Linked DNA regions of Coturnix japonica. The protein of the gene in region 2 interacts with the protein of the main gene of each other region in a biochemical or structural test. Links are inferred from orthologs where the notes say so. Each region holds a gene or a part of one and is shown on either strand. Other genes may lie near its edges. The genes, in order: POU2AF1 and POU2F1.

Region 1 (7,120 bases), on a different chromosome or scaffold from region 2:
AGGGTTGGGGCAGGCAATGCTGAGAGCGGCTGTGCCCATGGGAAGTAAGTGAGGGGTGGCTGCTGCTCCGTCACCTCCAGTTGAGGCACCACGGCCGGGGTGCTGCTTCGGGGCTGGTGGGAAGGAGAGGCATTTAATAGAATCAAACCATTGGCCATTGGGTGGGGTGTGGGACACAAAATGAGGGGAAGGATGCTCAGTCTCACTTTGAACATCCCTTTTCCTGTCTCTCTGGGGAAGATTTACACCCAGGGTGGCAGTTTTCCCACGCTGGCTCCCATGAGAGCGGTGGCTGTGGGTGTCCCAGGTGCTCGCGGGCAGTAGCTTGAGCTCATGATGAGTTAGTTCCCTTCAGCTTTCTGTTCCCACTCCCACCCTCACTGCAAGGCCATGAGACAGCTTCACTTTATACTGAATGCTGCCTTCTTTGGCAGCATTTTTTTTTTACCAAGCCATTTTCCTGGCACGTCCAGTAGGTATTTCCTAGAATTCCCTTCTTCACTTTTTGCTTTTTTTTCTTTCTTTTCCAAATATTTGGAATTAAATAGTGAAGAATCTCATGAGGACTGCCAGATCTGCAGGCACTCAGGGCCAGGTGGGATGGGGTCCTGGGCAGCCTGAACTGATGGGTGACAGCCCTGCCCATGGCAGAGGGTTGGAACTGGGTGACCTTTGAGGTCCCCTCCAACCTGAGCCATTCTATGATTCTAAGTCCTTGACTTGACAACAGTGTATAGGGACCATAGAGTAAACCCATTCAGAACCACAGCTTTCTCAGCTATTGCAAATCTAAGACAAAGAACCCCTCGTCCAATTGGAACCAATGACAACAGTAAGCTGAACTGACTGTGTTATTGCTGTTAAATTATATGAGTTATATCCTGCACTCCCCATTGATGCTTACTGGAAGGTGGGGATTAGCCATCATTTATACATAGTTATCTTTGACTTACTGCAAAATTGGTGATCAGTGGCTGAGACGCATAGGTCAGCACAGATGAAGGTCCAACCAGCGTGTAACTGGGACACATGGGCTGAATGTACATGTCTGCAGTGTAAGGACAGCTGGCTGCTTCGTGGGACACGTAGTCGGGGTAAGTGGTCCACTGAGTCAAAGGCTGCAGGGATGATGGAGAGGGCTGGGAGAGCCAGCTGGAACAGAGGGCTCCTTCCTCTGCACTGGGTAGTGCAGGGGCAGCAGCATCCACATCGATACATGGCTGGCCTGGAAGACAGGAGGGGATGACAGCTCAGTTCTGCATGGCTTTCCCTGCAGCAGGGTTGAGAAATACATAGAAAATCAGGGAAGCATTACCCATTGGTGAGTAGGAAGGGAGCGGCTGGTGGGGCAAAACAACCTAGGAAAGGGAAGAAAAATATCCAAGGATTAATACCATAAGCAGCAGCATCTCTTTCAAATCAATGGCAGCTGAAGCTGCCTAGTACCTTAAAAGCAAAAATGCATTTATTTCATAGAATGGGTCAGAAGGGACCTTTAAGATCATATAATCCAACCCTACAGGCAGGGACACCTCCCACTACACCACATTGCTCAAAACTTGGTCTTCATTTACATCTGATTTATAAATGACATTTAAAATATATCATAGTGTCTCTAGGTATCAAGAGGTTCTGCTACCTCTGAACACTAGTGATACAAAGGTTTCTCTCATTGCACCAAGCAATGCCAGGGCAGCTCAGTTATTTCACTACCCAACCCAGCTCTGCTCCTGCAATTCTTTATCTCTCTTACCGTCGTGGCTGCTGCTGCAGTGGCATTACGGACATTTCCCCTTTTCCTTTTCAGCAGCTCCTTCACTGGCTCTTTGACACGGACCCCTTGATAGGGGCGAGGTTGCGGCTGTTGTTCTGAAGCAGAAGCTGTAAAAATAGGGGAAAAAAAACACACATGACAGGTGGTGTTTGTTTTCTTTTCTTGCCCCTGTTTTCCTGCAGAACGTTCCTACGTGATGCCCTTTCCCTTTGGTCTATTTGCTTCCTGTTGCTGCTGTGGCACAGGTGTGCAGTGCAGTGATTTACAGCACCTGAAGGGCAAACGGGACTGAGTGAACCTGCAGGTTGGTTGATGAGATATTCAAGAGGGTCATGTTATAGTCCCTATTTAGAAGCAAGCTGCAAATAGAAGCAAACATGAAGAACATCCCCATTTGGGCAGCCATTGCCCATTGGACACATATGCCTCATGGCTTTTGGGAGCAGGCTCAGCAAGATACATAATAAGACAACAAGAGTAGAGGAAGAACCGTTCTTCATCAGCAGAGATTATCACCCTGCATTATACACAGTCACTGGAGGCAGTTTAGAGCAGGAGACCACGGGATAACAAAGCTCAGGAAGGCCCTTCGATTTGTGAGCATATCAGTTGGTAAGTTTCCATTTCTGAGGACTGCAGTTGGCTTTATGAAGGAGCCCAGCTGGATACCCAGCTCAAATCATCCGCATAAAGCACCATCCCAGTAGGAAGCGTTGATTCAGATTTACGCTCTGTGCTTTGCGCTGCAGAACGAAATGAAAAGCTGAGTCTAAAACTGCAAGAGAGCCTCAAAAATATTTGACAGAGTTGACTTTTCTGCTTGGATTTCTTTTAAAAATGAAATCCCTATTTTCCCTCAGCTTTGAAACGCCAACAGTTTGCTCTTTCAGCCCCACCACATACCATTTAATCACGAAATCTTGAGAGGCCATTATAAATACTTCTGGCAGCAGATAACACCACAGTTATGTGTGGAACTGCTCTCTTTGTTTGTTACCTTTATGCATATAGGGAAAATTCCATGCTTTAGAGCAGTAGGTGAAGGAAAGCTGATTCCTCAGCCTTTGCCTGATGTGTACTTGTTCTATCTGACCATTCCTTGTGGAACTTCAAAGCGGGTTGCCTGCATTCTCATAACTCCTGTGGCTTTGGAAATGCAGTTAGCAAAGGGAATGAAGGTCACTTCGTTTAATGCAGCTTTGCTTTTACAGCGTAATTGGCATTCATTTCTCTAAGTGACAACTAAAGGCAGTGCCACAGAGCACCATGCTGTGGGCTGCAATTGACTCTTCACAATGACAACTCTGAAAATGAGCTGAATACCAGACAGGTCTGAAATGAAGCCCATCCCATAGGCACTATTTTGCTCTTGCATGACATTTCTTTGGAAGAGATGCATTGTTGGTACCTTACCAAGAACGTCTCAGAATTGGGTGTTGCTGTTGTTTAAGCTGAGCAAAACCATCGGCTCAGCCAAAGCCAACATGCTGTAGGGTGCAAGAGGAGCAGAACGTCCCTCCTGGCAGTGCCCTATCCCCAAGGCAAGCTGCCCTCACAGCTCCTCTCTGCAGGGTTGGGTGGGGAAGGATGGCAGTTTCTGGCTCCAGGTTTGGGGGGATGGGAGAGAAGAAATTTACTGTAAAAGCTGACAAATATACCTATTCACAGTTTCCGGTGTAAGCAGAGTAACCCAAAAAAAAAAAAAAAAAAAAAAAAAAAAATAAAACCAAAGTCTGCACAACATATTTCGGTTCCCCCCAAGCTGACCTCCAGAAATATAAATAATGCTAGCACAGCTGCTTTTCCACTGCTCAAGTGTGCAGAAAGAAGAGAGCAAGACGAGCTTGGGTTCCAATGTGCAATTCCTCATAAAGCAAAATAACGTGATCTTTTACAAGTCTTTTGGATCTTTAATGACCATTAAATTAATGACCAATAACCTTAAGCAGAATGTAGCTGGATTGAGCACTCTCCAGCCGTTTCTATCTAAGGGTTGCCTTAATGAACTATCAAGCCTACTTTGTACTCAATAAAGACTGCTACACTGAGCTGCAATGCACCAACAAACCCAAAACAGATAAAGAACAGCATCAGGTGTACTTTGGTGCACAGCACAACAGCCGTACATCCTCCTTACCAGGCACTAGGTCCCAATTTGTGGCTGCTTGCTGAAGCTGGAGCAGTACAAAACATTGAAAGCATGGAGAGAAGAGAGAGAACCTGACCCAGCCAGTAGGATTGACCATAGTTTCTGCGTGCAAACTTAGTTGAGCTCATTACAACGCTTTGGTCAGGCCGCCTTACAAACCCAAGCTCCTTTCATCAATGTTATCACTCAGTGCATTTACTGATTGCTGAGAAAAGCCTGGCATGAACCCCAAACCCTTCGGAGCAATGTCTCAAAGTGGATAGAGAGCACCAAGCGGTACCAAACACAGCACTCCCTGCAGTGCTATGCATCACAGACAACAGCAAAAAGCCCACAGAGGTGTTGAAGGCTGCTCAGCCATTCAGCTTGCTGAGATTGCAGAGAAGCAAAAGACCACCGCTTCACAAGGTTTCCTTTCCCTGTGCTTATACTGTATGATAAGCTATCAACCAATCAGTGCAACCAGTGCAAACATTTTGCTCTTTCCCTTCCAATGTAATAAAAAATAAATACAATAGAAATCTTTTTCATCTTTACAGGAACGCCAAAAAGCAAACGGTTCCTCTTGGATAACAAGAAAAAAAGGCATTTTGCTTAACAAACCATTGACATTTGGCCTTTGGGCTTGAAAATTCCATAGGGCAGTTGCTGACACTGCTATGGTGTGCAGTGAACTTTGGTGAATTACAAATTATAAAGAGTAGTGGGGGGGAAAAAAGAGGTGTAGCTTTGGATCCACTGCTTGGATGTTTTGACTCCAACCCAAACCTTTTTGGTAGCATTGGTTTGCAACAGATGCTGCTTGGAAATGAGTTGTGATCAAAGCAGACAGGCCACAGTTGTAAGGGAGCTGTGTTGGTAGTGACAGGTCGGGTTGGCTGGTAGACACTGGGAGTCATGACCAACAGACCATTCTTTGACTGACATGCTGAATAAACCACAAAGTAACTCCAAACATGGCATTTCTCCGCATTGCCTTTGGTCATTGCCCACTGTGCCATCTCATCAGTGGTCTCTCCATTTGAAATGACACCCAAAGGCCACAGTGTTGGCATGGTGCGCCCATTTGGAAGCCTAAAGGCACTCTGTGCTTCCGACACATCCCAGATCTCCTGTAAGGTGTTGCTATTCTTTTTATAAGATAACCCTGACTAAGAGAACTGGACCAGAGCAGGTTATTTCCTACACCGCTTGTCACACCGAGGGTGTGTACCTCAGTGAGGATTTAGTTCAATGCAAAGTGCTAAGCAAACATCTGGGCAGAGAATCTGCTGTACAATAAACAGAAAAACTCAGAGCAAGAGCAAAAGAGACAAGCAATGGTTCATTGCTCAGCATAAGGAAATGAACCCGGGAGGGTCCTTAGTGTAATTAAATCAACAGACTAACTATTTCACTTGCTTACCAACAACTCAGAGCAGTATTTGGTCTCTTTCTGCTCAGTTGCTTGGCACGACAACTACTCAATGGCGTGAAACAGATTACTGCCATAGTACTATATTTCACAATTATGCCCAGTCCCTTCATCTATGGGTGTTTATCTACAGTAAGAAGATGTCCAAGAACAAAAGCAACCTTGTGTTCCAGCAGATCCATGTGCCATCATACCCTGCCTGAGTCCTTCCAGCATGCTGCCCTTGTAGGAAAGGTCTCCTCCACACCTCCAGGAGATGTAAAGGAGTGGAAGCCATAGGAGCACTGTACAGAAACTGAGTTCTGCTACAGCACAGGGAGATGGCTGCATTAGCTTTGTGGTGGTGAGGGCTGCCAAAAATTATCTCTTTCAGAATAAGAGAACTCCCGTTGCAAAGGGGAAGCTGAGATAGACAGAAAGTGGCTTAACCATAAGTCTCACCCTGCATGTCCTAATTCCTCCCAGCCCAGAATACTCTTTCCATTTTAGTAATGCAGGCTTTCCATTTAATTGACAATGTGGTCATTCATAGAGCCCGACACCTGCTTTGTAAAGCATGGATGGACTCAACTTTCATGCTATCCATCTTTCCCAGTGGGGTTTTTACCAAAATTAAGACTCACAAGATGTGACATATTGCAGTTTCACCTCTCAGTCTCATTATCTGATACTTTCAGAAAGGCAGTATAAAGCCCCACATCTGCTGAGGGCAGAAAAGGCTTCAGGGGCTTAAAAAGCGTTTGGGAAGAGGTTTGCAAAGGGGAAGATTCACATCTCTCTGTTGCACGGGAATCCTGCCTCACCTGCACCCGTCCCACAAGACTTGAGTAGGAGTTGAGTGTCCAAAGCTTATTGACCTCACCAAAAACACCACGTCAATGTGAAACACTTGCCGAATTGCAACCTGCTCGCATACCCTCTCATAACAGAAGTAATTTGCATGAGAAGTATGTTCATTTTGTCATCAAAATACAACACGGAGTCCGTATGCAGATAGCGACACGTAAGAGGAAAGGTGCTGCGCAATAGAAATTACCCATCCCGCCGAGCAGCCAGCTCCCATCCAGCAGAATCCTGCCAAAAGCTGGGAAGCCCCTACAGTCACTTTGCTCCTGCCGTGGGAGGGGATGCTTTCAGGCCGTGCCTTTTGCTCAGCGGAAGCTCTGGGCCCCATTCCTGTACAGAAGCTCCCGCAGGGTCACGGCACAGTGCGCATCTCCAGCCATGCGAGACTCCCTAGAGGATGAGGGCCTCTGGTCACCGCAGGGCTGAGGGCTGCCCTGTTCCTGTAGGGTTTTCTGCTGAAAGGTCCTCTGCAGAAAGCAGGAAACTGCCCTTCAGAAGTGCCCACAAGAAATGCCCTCTTGGTGAGGTGACACCTATTCAAATCACCGGCGTCGCTCTTCGATTTTCACTTTGTTTGTTTTGATCTTTGGCTGTTTTGGTTTTGTTTATTTCATGGCTGTGGTAAATATGGGGATGATACCATTCCTTTTGAAACCTCCTCTTGTGCTAAAAACCCATTTACATCCATACCATACCATACCATACCATACCATACCATACCATACCATACCATACCATACCATACCATACCATACCATACCATACCATACCATACCACACCATACCACACCATACCATACCATACCAATGGCATCCTGATGGAGGAGGCTGCCAGGAGTTCTGTGCAGCCTACTTCCATGCAGGTACAGATGGAGCAAACATTTCTGCCTCTACCTTCGCATTCCAGCTGGCACTGCCCTCAGCTCAATTGCAAACA
Region 2 (7,120 bases):
TACAATTAGAAGTACAATACGTTTCTTTATTCTGTTGAAGGGAAATACCACTTGGGTGCAAGAGCCCTTTTGTATCAGTATAAAAATGAAATATTTTACTACGGAATTAAAATAATCTGTCCAGGTAAACAATTCATTTTGTCAGGAGCCCATGTTAAGCACAGACGTGTTTTGCCAGAAGAAATAGCAAACAAAAATCCAAGTAGGTATTTAAAAGTCTGAGCTCAGAGCAGTCAGTCCAGAATATGTGATTTGTCCACCCTTGGAATAAGTAAACCTACTCTAGCTGAAACTATGTGCTGAAGTCAGATTTATTTTTCTGGCAGAGCTTTAAATGTTTGAAAAATCAGGGTTCATAATGAAAGTTCCTGGCAGTGTCTTAATTATAACCGAAGAACAGAATGTTCCTAGTAAAATTAAGTGCATTTTGCTGGCATGTGTGCCTCCTTCTCTTCCTTCTTTCCACTAGAGGGAGGTACAGAAATGTAACAGTAGTAGACACACATAAAAACTGGAATAAAGCAGAACAGAATAGAGTAAAACACAATAGCTTCCCTACAGCCCGATTGAGGAGGTTTATGTAGATCTTTAGCTATTATGTTTAGTCTGTCCTACTGTCAAATGATTATAAAGGCTCAACTGAGACTTTTTAAGCTATGGATTAACCCTTATTATTTTGACTCTGTTACAAATTTTCTGTGGTCAGGAAAAACGATCACAGCTTGCATTTTAGTATTTGCTTTTTAGCTTAAAAATAGCAAACAGAACAAGCAATAAAATTGCATTTGATCATTCCTGTCCTGCATTAAGTGCGTATGTATATATTTATTATATTCTAAAAACGTCTACTTAATTGTGTAATTGGAGATCCCTGTTACTTCAGTTTCCTGTAGTTGGATAAGCAGACTGCCTTTTAAAGGATATAATAAATTTATTTCCAGTCACACTGAAAGTTTTTTAAAACCCAACCCACCTCTGTTTTTCAAAGATTGTTTGCGTAGCAAATGGATCACTTGCTATATTCTACTTTCTCAGTAATATAAAAGACACTGAATTTCAGCAGTGTCCTCCCCAAAAGAGTCCATAGTAGATGTGTTTATATACTGTTATCTAACTGTTTTTCTTAAAAGTGGCTCTGTCTCTGACATGCAGAGTTACAGTGAAAGTATTGCATCTTAGTCTTATTGCAGTTGTGGGGCTAATTGCTCAGGACAGATCAAAGCTATGTGAACAAACATTTTAGATTCTCTAGAGGATATTACCTCCTCTAGTCCATCTGAACTTCATAGAATCATAAAAGGGCTTGGGTTGGAAGGGACTTCAAGGGTTCCGCTGCCGCAGTCAGAGTTGCCAGCCCAGATCATATTGCCCAGGGCCCCATTCAGCCTGTCCTTACGAACACCTCTGGAGATGGGGCATTCCCAGCTTCTTTGGGTGACCTGTTCTAGCACCTCACTACTCTCTCAGTCCCCTGACATCTAATCTAAATTTCCCCTCCTGTAGTTTAAAACCATTCCCCATTGTCCTATCACTGTCTACAGACAAGCACACACAATAGTGAGGTACCTTATAATCAGTCTTATTTAATTACTGGAGTGTCATTCAGTCTACAACATAGATGAGACATGTCATTCATTCTCTGTTCCATCCAAACTTTCAGTAGCCCATCCCAGAATAAGAAATTCTTGCTCCTATTTGTAAATTCCTTTGCCTACATCTGCAGTGCTGCCCTGCCACCTTTTTGGTATTGAAAACTGCTGACAAAGAAATGGTTAACTATTCATTTTAATCATACAGTAAGTATCAGTAAGAACAACAGAGATATCAGAATTAAATTTGGTTGGGCACTGGAGCAGATTTCATAAATCTCTCTTCCAAGACATAGACCAGCTTATGGTTAAAATGGTTGACATAGCCAGGTTTTTTTCATGAACACACTAGAGCATCCAGGTTACTTCTCTTGGAATGATTTGTGAGTTTTGAAATGCACAGAATCCTGGGATATGAGTTGAGATTTCCTCAGTTTTCCTTTCCTGTTTGAAGGGCTTACAAACCAATTGTTCTGTTCCTCTTCAAAGGAGTTTGTTTTCTTCATGCAGCCTGCACAATTTACTTACCAAAGGCTTTCTACCTTGCTTGGATGTGACCACTCTGCATGCTGTTGGTTTATTTGTGTCAAGCTGTTGTTGTGGATCTGATGTAAAGGAAGGCAAGCAAGCTTTACGTGCCATCCAACTAACTCAGTCGCAATTAAACTCCACTAACTGTGCTCAAGCTCTTCAGTCTTTTCTTCCAGGCTTTTTATCTATCACCTTTTGTGTTAAATAAATAAATAAATAAAAAGATATCTAAATTAATCTAATTTTATAGCACATAGTAAGAAACAATTACATTTTCTGAAAAGACAAGGCCTTCATGCTGTGAAACAAAACTCCAAAGCATGCTGTTTATAATAACTGTGATCAAGAATGGGACTTTATCTTTTTTAAATGAGACTTTCAAAGCATGCAGTACGTGGTGGCTGCGTACGTATACTGGAGCAGAATGTCTGAAAGCTAGCTAAAACTGAGTTTTGAAAAGCAATAACGCTTAAAGAGGTGATCATCTGTCTGTTAATCTCATGGCTAGCTTTTGGCAGATGGGTATTGGTAGTGAAGACTACCGTTAATCATTATTTGAAATGATTGAGCTTCTTGCCTGCTTTGAAATGCCCATCTATGGGGAGAAGTTTGATTTGAACATCAGAAGATACTACAAGTTCAGCTATGAGTATTTCTCCATTTATTTAAATGTGACTTCAATTTGTAGACAAGCCACATTCGTCTCTTCAAGAGTGTTTTTCTGCTAATTTGAGGACATAAATTCACTGTATTTCTGCTAACTTGAAGTTTTTCTTCATTGATATGAAATATACATAGACTTAAATCTGCTCCCAGAGAGAGTTTGGCCTTTCCCTTTTTTTTTCTTTCTTTCTTTTTTATTATTATTTTTTTATTTTTTAAAGAACTATGAGAAAAATTGCAAGTTAATATGCAGTGGAATGTTCTGAGTATTGATAATGCTAAGAAGAAAAAGCATGAGGGATTTCCTGGAAAGACTTACACAGTTAAATTGACCAAGTGAAGTTTGAAAACATGACATTTCTTTGTCTTTATTCGCTTTAGTGTGAATCTTTAGTGCTGAGCAACTTTCTGTGAAACTGAATTCTGTGCAGTATAGGAGTCACTAAATACTCAAGGATGTCGACAGGATTCCTTGCTTTGGAAGTACCTATGTTAGTGAATCCCTTTTTTCTCTTTCTTTGTCCAGGGTGATGTTGGGCTCGCTATGGGCAAACTCTATGGAAATGACTTCAGCCAAACCACCATCTCTCGCTTTGAAGCCTTGAACCTCAGCTTTAAGAACATGTGCAAGTTAAAGCCGCTTCTGGAAAAGTGGCTCAATGATGCAGGTGAATGAGTCTGTGTATTTCTTCACCAGCCTACCAAAATCAGTAGGATTCTGAAAAACTTTGGAAAAAATGCTTCGTTGGTGCCCTTATGGTTTTATGAAGCCATCGATCTTGTGTTCATGGGACAAAAAAGGGTGTAGAAATAAGTGCCCCTTCTTCCCTGTTTGTGTGCCCACATATGTCTGAAATAGCTCCCCTTTGAACTTCTAGAATTTTGTTCTACAGTCAGCTGAATAATTGCATGGGGTGAGATGTAACGTGTGTCATGGTTTTCCTCCTTCATGTATGTTAATGCATATAACTTCTAATCCTCCTCTAGCTTTCTTTTTCAGATGTGTAATAAGAGAGAGTTGCATGCTTTGTTGTTTCAGTAAGCAGAGCTTATTGCATTCATCTCCTCCCACATCCCCTGTGTGCATTCTTTTCATCTCACTCCAAGAGTCCTTATGAGCACTCTCTTTCTCTCCATAGGAAGAGTTATTTGTTAGGGTTTTTGTTTTTTTTTTTTCTTTCCAGAATGATTTTTTTCCTAGGGAGAAAGTTACTCATGATGCCAGTGTTATAGCGAAAACAAAGAGAAAAAGAAAACAAAAAGCTCCAGAAAATGGAGTTTGGATGGTGGTGCTAGGTGTCAGGATAGATAATGTTAGTGCTGTCAGCTTTTTTTCTTTTGAATGTATGGTTGTACGTAGTGTAAAACTGATGGATCTGCTAAACCAATGGCACAGATGACTTGTGCCTTCCTATTGGTATCAAGATGAAGAGAGCTTTATGCTTTTACCTGCAGTATTCCCTGAAATTTTGTAATTAACTGGATTCAGTGTAGAATTTTTTTTTTTTCTTCATTGGAACAAGGAGATGTCATTCTGTTGTGCTTGCCAGGTGCAACCTTAGATAATCTGTATCTATGATAGAAAACATGAAGAACTTCACACTGACTGCTGTAGTTCTCAGGGCAGAAATCCCCTAAAAGCTGACATGAGGGAATGTCATACTTTGTTTTTCCTGCTAACCGGAAGAAATACTTGGATTTGTAAAATGAAGCTAAAGACTGTTAACGGTGCTGGGTTCCTATGCAGCCTGAAAGCTTGGAACCATAGTCTTTGGCTCTCATTCAATTTCTTGAAAATCTTTGAAAGAAAGATTCGGGTGACTATAAAGGTCATTCAGCTATTTTTGGGTAAAAGCAGGCAGCAGAAGCATATCAATGATCTATTACATTATGTTACATTGGAGTGCTAGAATTCACTGTTACAGAATTTGCTTTGTTCTGTGGGATTTTCAGGATGGTGAAGGGATCCAGCAGATTTTTGGGTAGTTACTGAAAAAAATAATAATATAATCTAGAAAATATTGTAGTGAATGTGCTTGCCCATTTGAGCCTATGAGAGTGGTGTTAAGCATTATGAACTATGCCATCTACTTATCAGGCATAAACCCCAGTGCAGAAAAGGGTCTTCAGAGTTACTCAACCATAATTGGTCATTTTGCTTGAGCTTAGTTCTGGAACCTGTTGGTTGGTTTGCACTTCCTTGTGCAGAGTGGGTTAAAAGTGCATCTTCTCTTCGCTATTCTGTGGGGCCAGAAAGGATAGGATTGGCAGTTGACAACTGGAGACCTTCTAAAGCTAAGGAGAGGGAAACTCTCCTTATGTAAAGCCTAGATGTGTAGGCTTTCTAGCAGAGCTGCATAGCACAGACTATCTGCTAGGATCTCCAAAGAGGCTTAATGCTGTGAAGGCTGGGAACTTCTTCTTCCTGTACTGTGCTGCAGAATAGGTAAAAGAAATTTCAGATCGCTCAGATTTTTTCATAGTTTGTGGCTTATTGCTGTGGGGTGTGTATATCAACTGCTGCGTTTTTTCCTTAAACTGTAGTTGTAGTCTGATAGTGTGGTTTGGAATGAGATATGGGAGAAAGAAACTTTGTATGGGTAAAATAAAAGGGGTACTCTGGTAGAATACAGGAGCAAAGACAGCACCCTCCTGGGCTTAACTCGTAGATTTTAAGTGGATTTTAGCATGCCTTGCACAGGGGAAGAGCACTTACATTATAAGTTGCACTGCATTCAGATAAAATCTCTTTATTTGTGTTAATTAATCTTTTTTTTTTTTTTTTTACAGAAAACCTCTCATCTGATTCAACTCTCTCCAGCCCAAGTGCCCTGAATTCTCCAGGGCAAGGAATCGAAGGCGTGAACCGTAGGAGGAAGAAACGCACCAGCATAGAGACCAACATACGTGTGGCCTTAGAGAAGAGTTTCCTGGAGGTCAGTGATACTGTTGTTCAGGTCAATCTATAAAGAAACGAAGAAACTTTAGTTTAATGATGCACCTGCTAGAATGAAACCATTACCGTACTATTTAGGAAGTTGCTTGTACTAATGGAGGTAAATTCAAGGACTGTTCCAAGGAGCACATGATCAGTGTCTATTTTAATTAAAAAAAAAAAAACAGCAAAAAAACCCATGCATACAACCACCCCACCAAAATCTCATTGGTTCTTACAGTTCCTTGACTCAGTGATTTTTGCAATCCAAGGTGCTGAACAGTAGCTCAAAGCTTGATGTTGTGCACACCAAAAAAAATTAAAACAGAATTACCTTTTCTGAGTATGGGTAAACGGGTAACAGTCTCAACATACATAACATTCAGTTCTTAACTACCTTTATGCAGCTGTTCTGTTCATTAACTGGAGATGTTAAAAGAAAGCTTTCCAATCAATAGCCAGAGTTCTTAGAAGGATAAACTTATACAAGTCAGATCCTTTCTCTCATAAAGACTCATGTGGGCTTTGTCTTCATCACCCATCTTTAAGGAATGTAGCTTGCCATTGGTAGAAATTCTCCTGTCACTTGGAAAATGTAGGGCAAAAGTATCTATTATGATCTGTCTCTAGAGAAAGTGCCACTGAGCAGATTCTGTGTATAAATAGCCTATCCAGATTTCTGCCTAGTGAAGGAGAGTCTATAATGTAAAGCGTATGAAGGTAGTTTCTCACTTTTCAAGTACTTGTTTCCTTTTCTCAGAACCAAAAGCCTACCTCGGAGGAGATCACCATGATAGCTGACCAGCTAAACATGGAGAAGGAGGTGATCCGCGTTTGGTTCTGTAACCGGCGCCAGAAGGAGAAAAGGATCAACCCACCCAGCAGTGGTGGAACCAGCAGCTCGCCCATCAAAGCAATTTTCCCTTGCCCAACCTCACTGGTAAGAATCAAGAATCTGTGTTGAAAAAGACCACTGGAAAAGAAAGTTCTGCTCTGCGCTCTGTGGCAATTGCACGTGCTACACCTTCTTTGTACAGCAGATTCATTCTCACAAGTGTGTCTTTTACTGGCATTTTAAATATACTTCTTGCATACTACAAAAGAGAGAGAATGCTTAAGTATCAGGCACTAATCAGGTCTTCAGGTATTTTATTTAGCCAACTCATGACTAAGTATTCTGGCTAGGGAATTTGCATTTAGGTTGTTGCTTTGGAAATATTCCAGATAGTAGCCCATGCTTGTATCTGGGTTTTCTCTTGACAAAACTGTTTTTATAATATAACAGCAATAAAAAATGCTTAGCAGTTCTACCCCTCCTGCCTTATTTGGGCTGCAGTGTTAAGTAGGTGAGCAGCAGTAAATGGTGTCATTTGGAGACTTAAGTCATGAAAGTCCGGTGTTA

The links.
Region 1: the proteins of POU2F1 (region 2) and POU2AF1 are reported together in a solved structure, tested with the Homo sapiens proteins (2 studies listed by BioGRID, with this or other methods). The link is inferred for Coturnix japonica from reciprocal best matches to the Homo sapiens genes POU2F1 and POU2AF1.

What each region holds. Positions count from the first base shown.
Region 1 is NC_029539.1:3,682,779-3,689,898, forward strand, and holds part of POU2AF1 (POU domain class 2-associating factor 1), read right to left. Parts: intron 1,882-7,120; coding exon 1,754-1,881; intron 1,359-1,753; coding exon 1,316-1,358; intron 1,226-1,315; coding exon 954-1,225; intron 114-953; coding exon 1-113. UniProt on the Homo sapiens protein: Transcriptional coactivator that specifically associates with either POU2F1/OCT1 or POU2F2/OCT2. It boosts the POU2F1/OCT1 mediated promoter activity and to a lesser extent, that of POU2F2/OCT2. It recognizes the POU domains of POU2F1/OCT1 and POU2F2/OCT2.
Region 2 is NC_029516.1:82,221,098-82,228,217, reverse strand, and holds part of POU2F1 (POU domain, class 2, transcription factor 1), read left to right. Parts: intron 1-3,309; coding exon 3,310-3,451; intron 3,452-5,573; coding exon 5,574-5,719; intron 5,720-6,478; coding exon 6,479-6,658; intron 6,659-7,120. UniProt on the Homo sapiens protein: Transcription factor that binds to the octamer motif (5'-ATTTGCAT-3') and activates the promoters of the genes for some small nuclear RNAs (snRNA) and of genes such as those for histone H2B and immunoglobulins.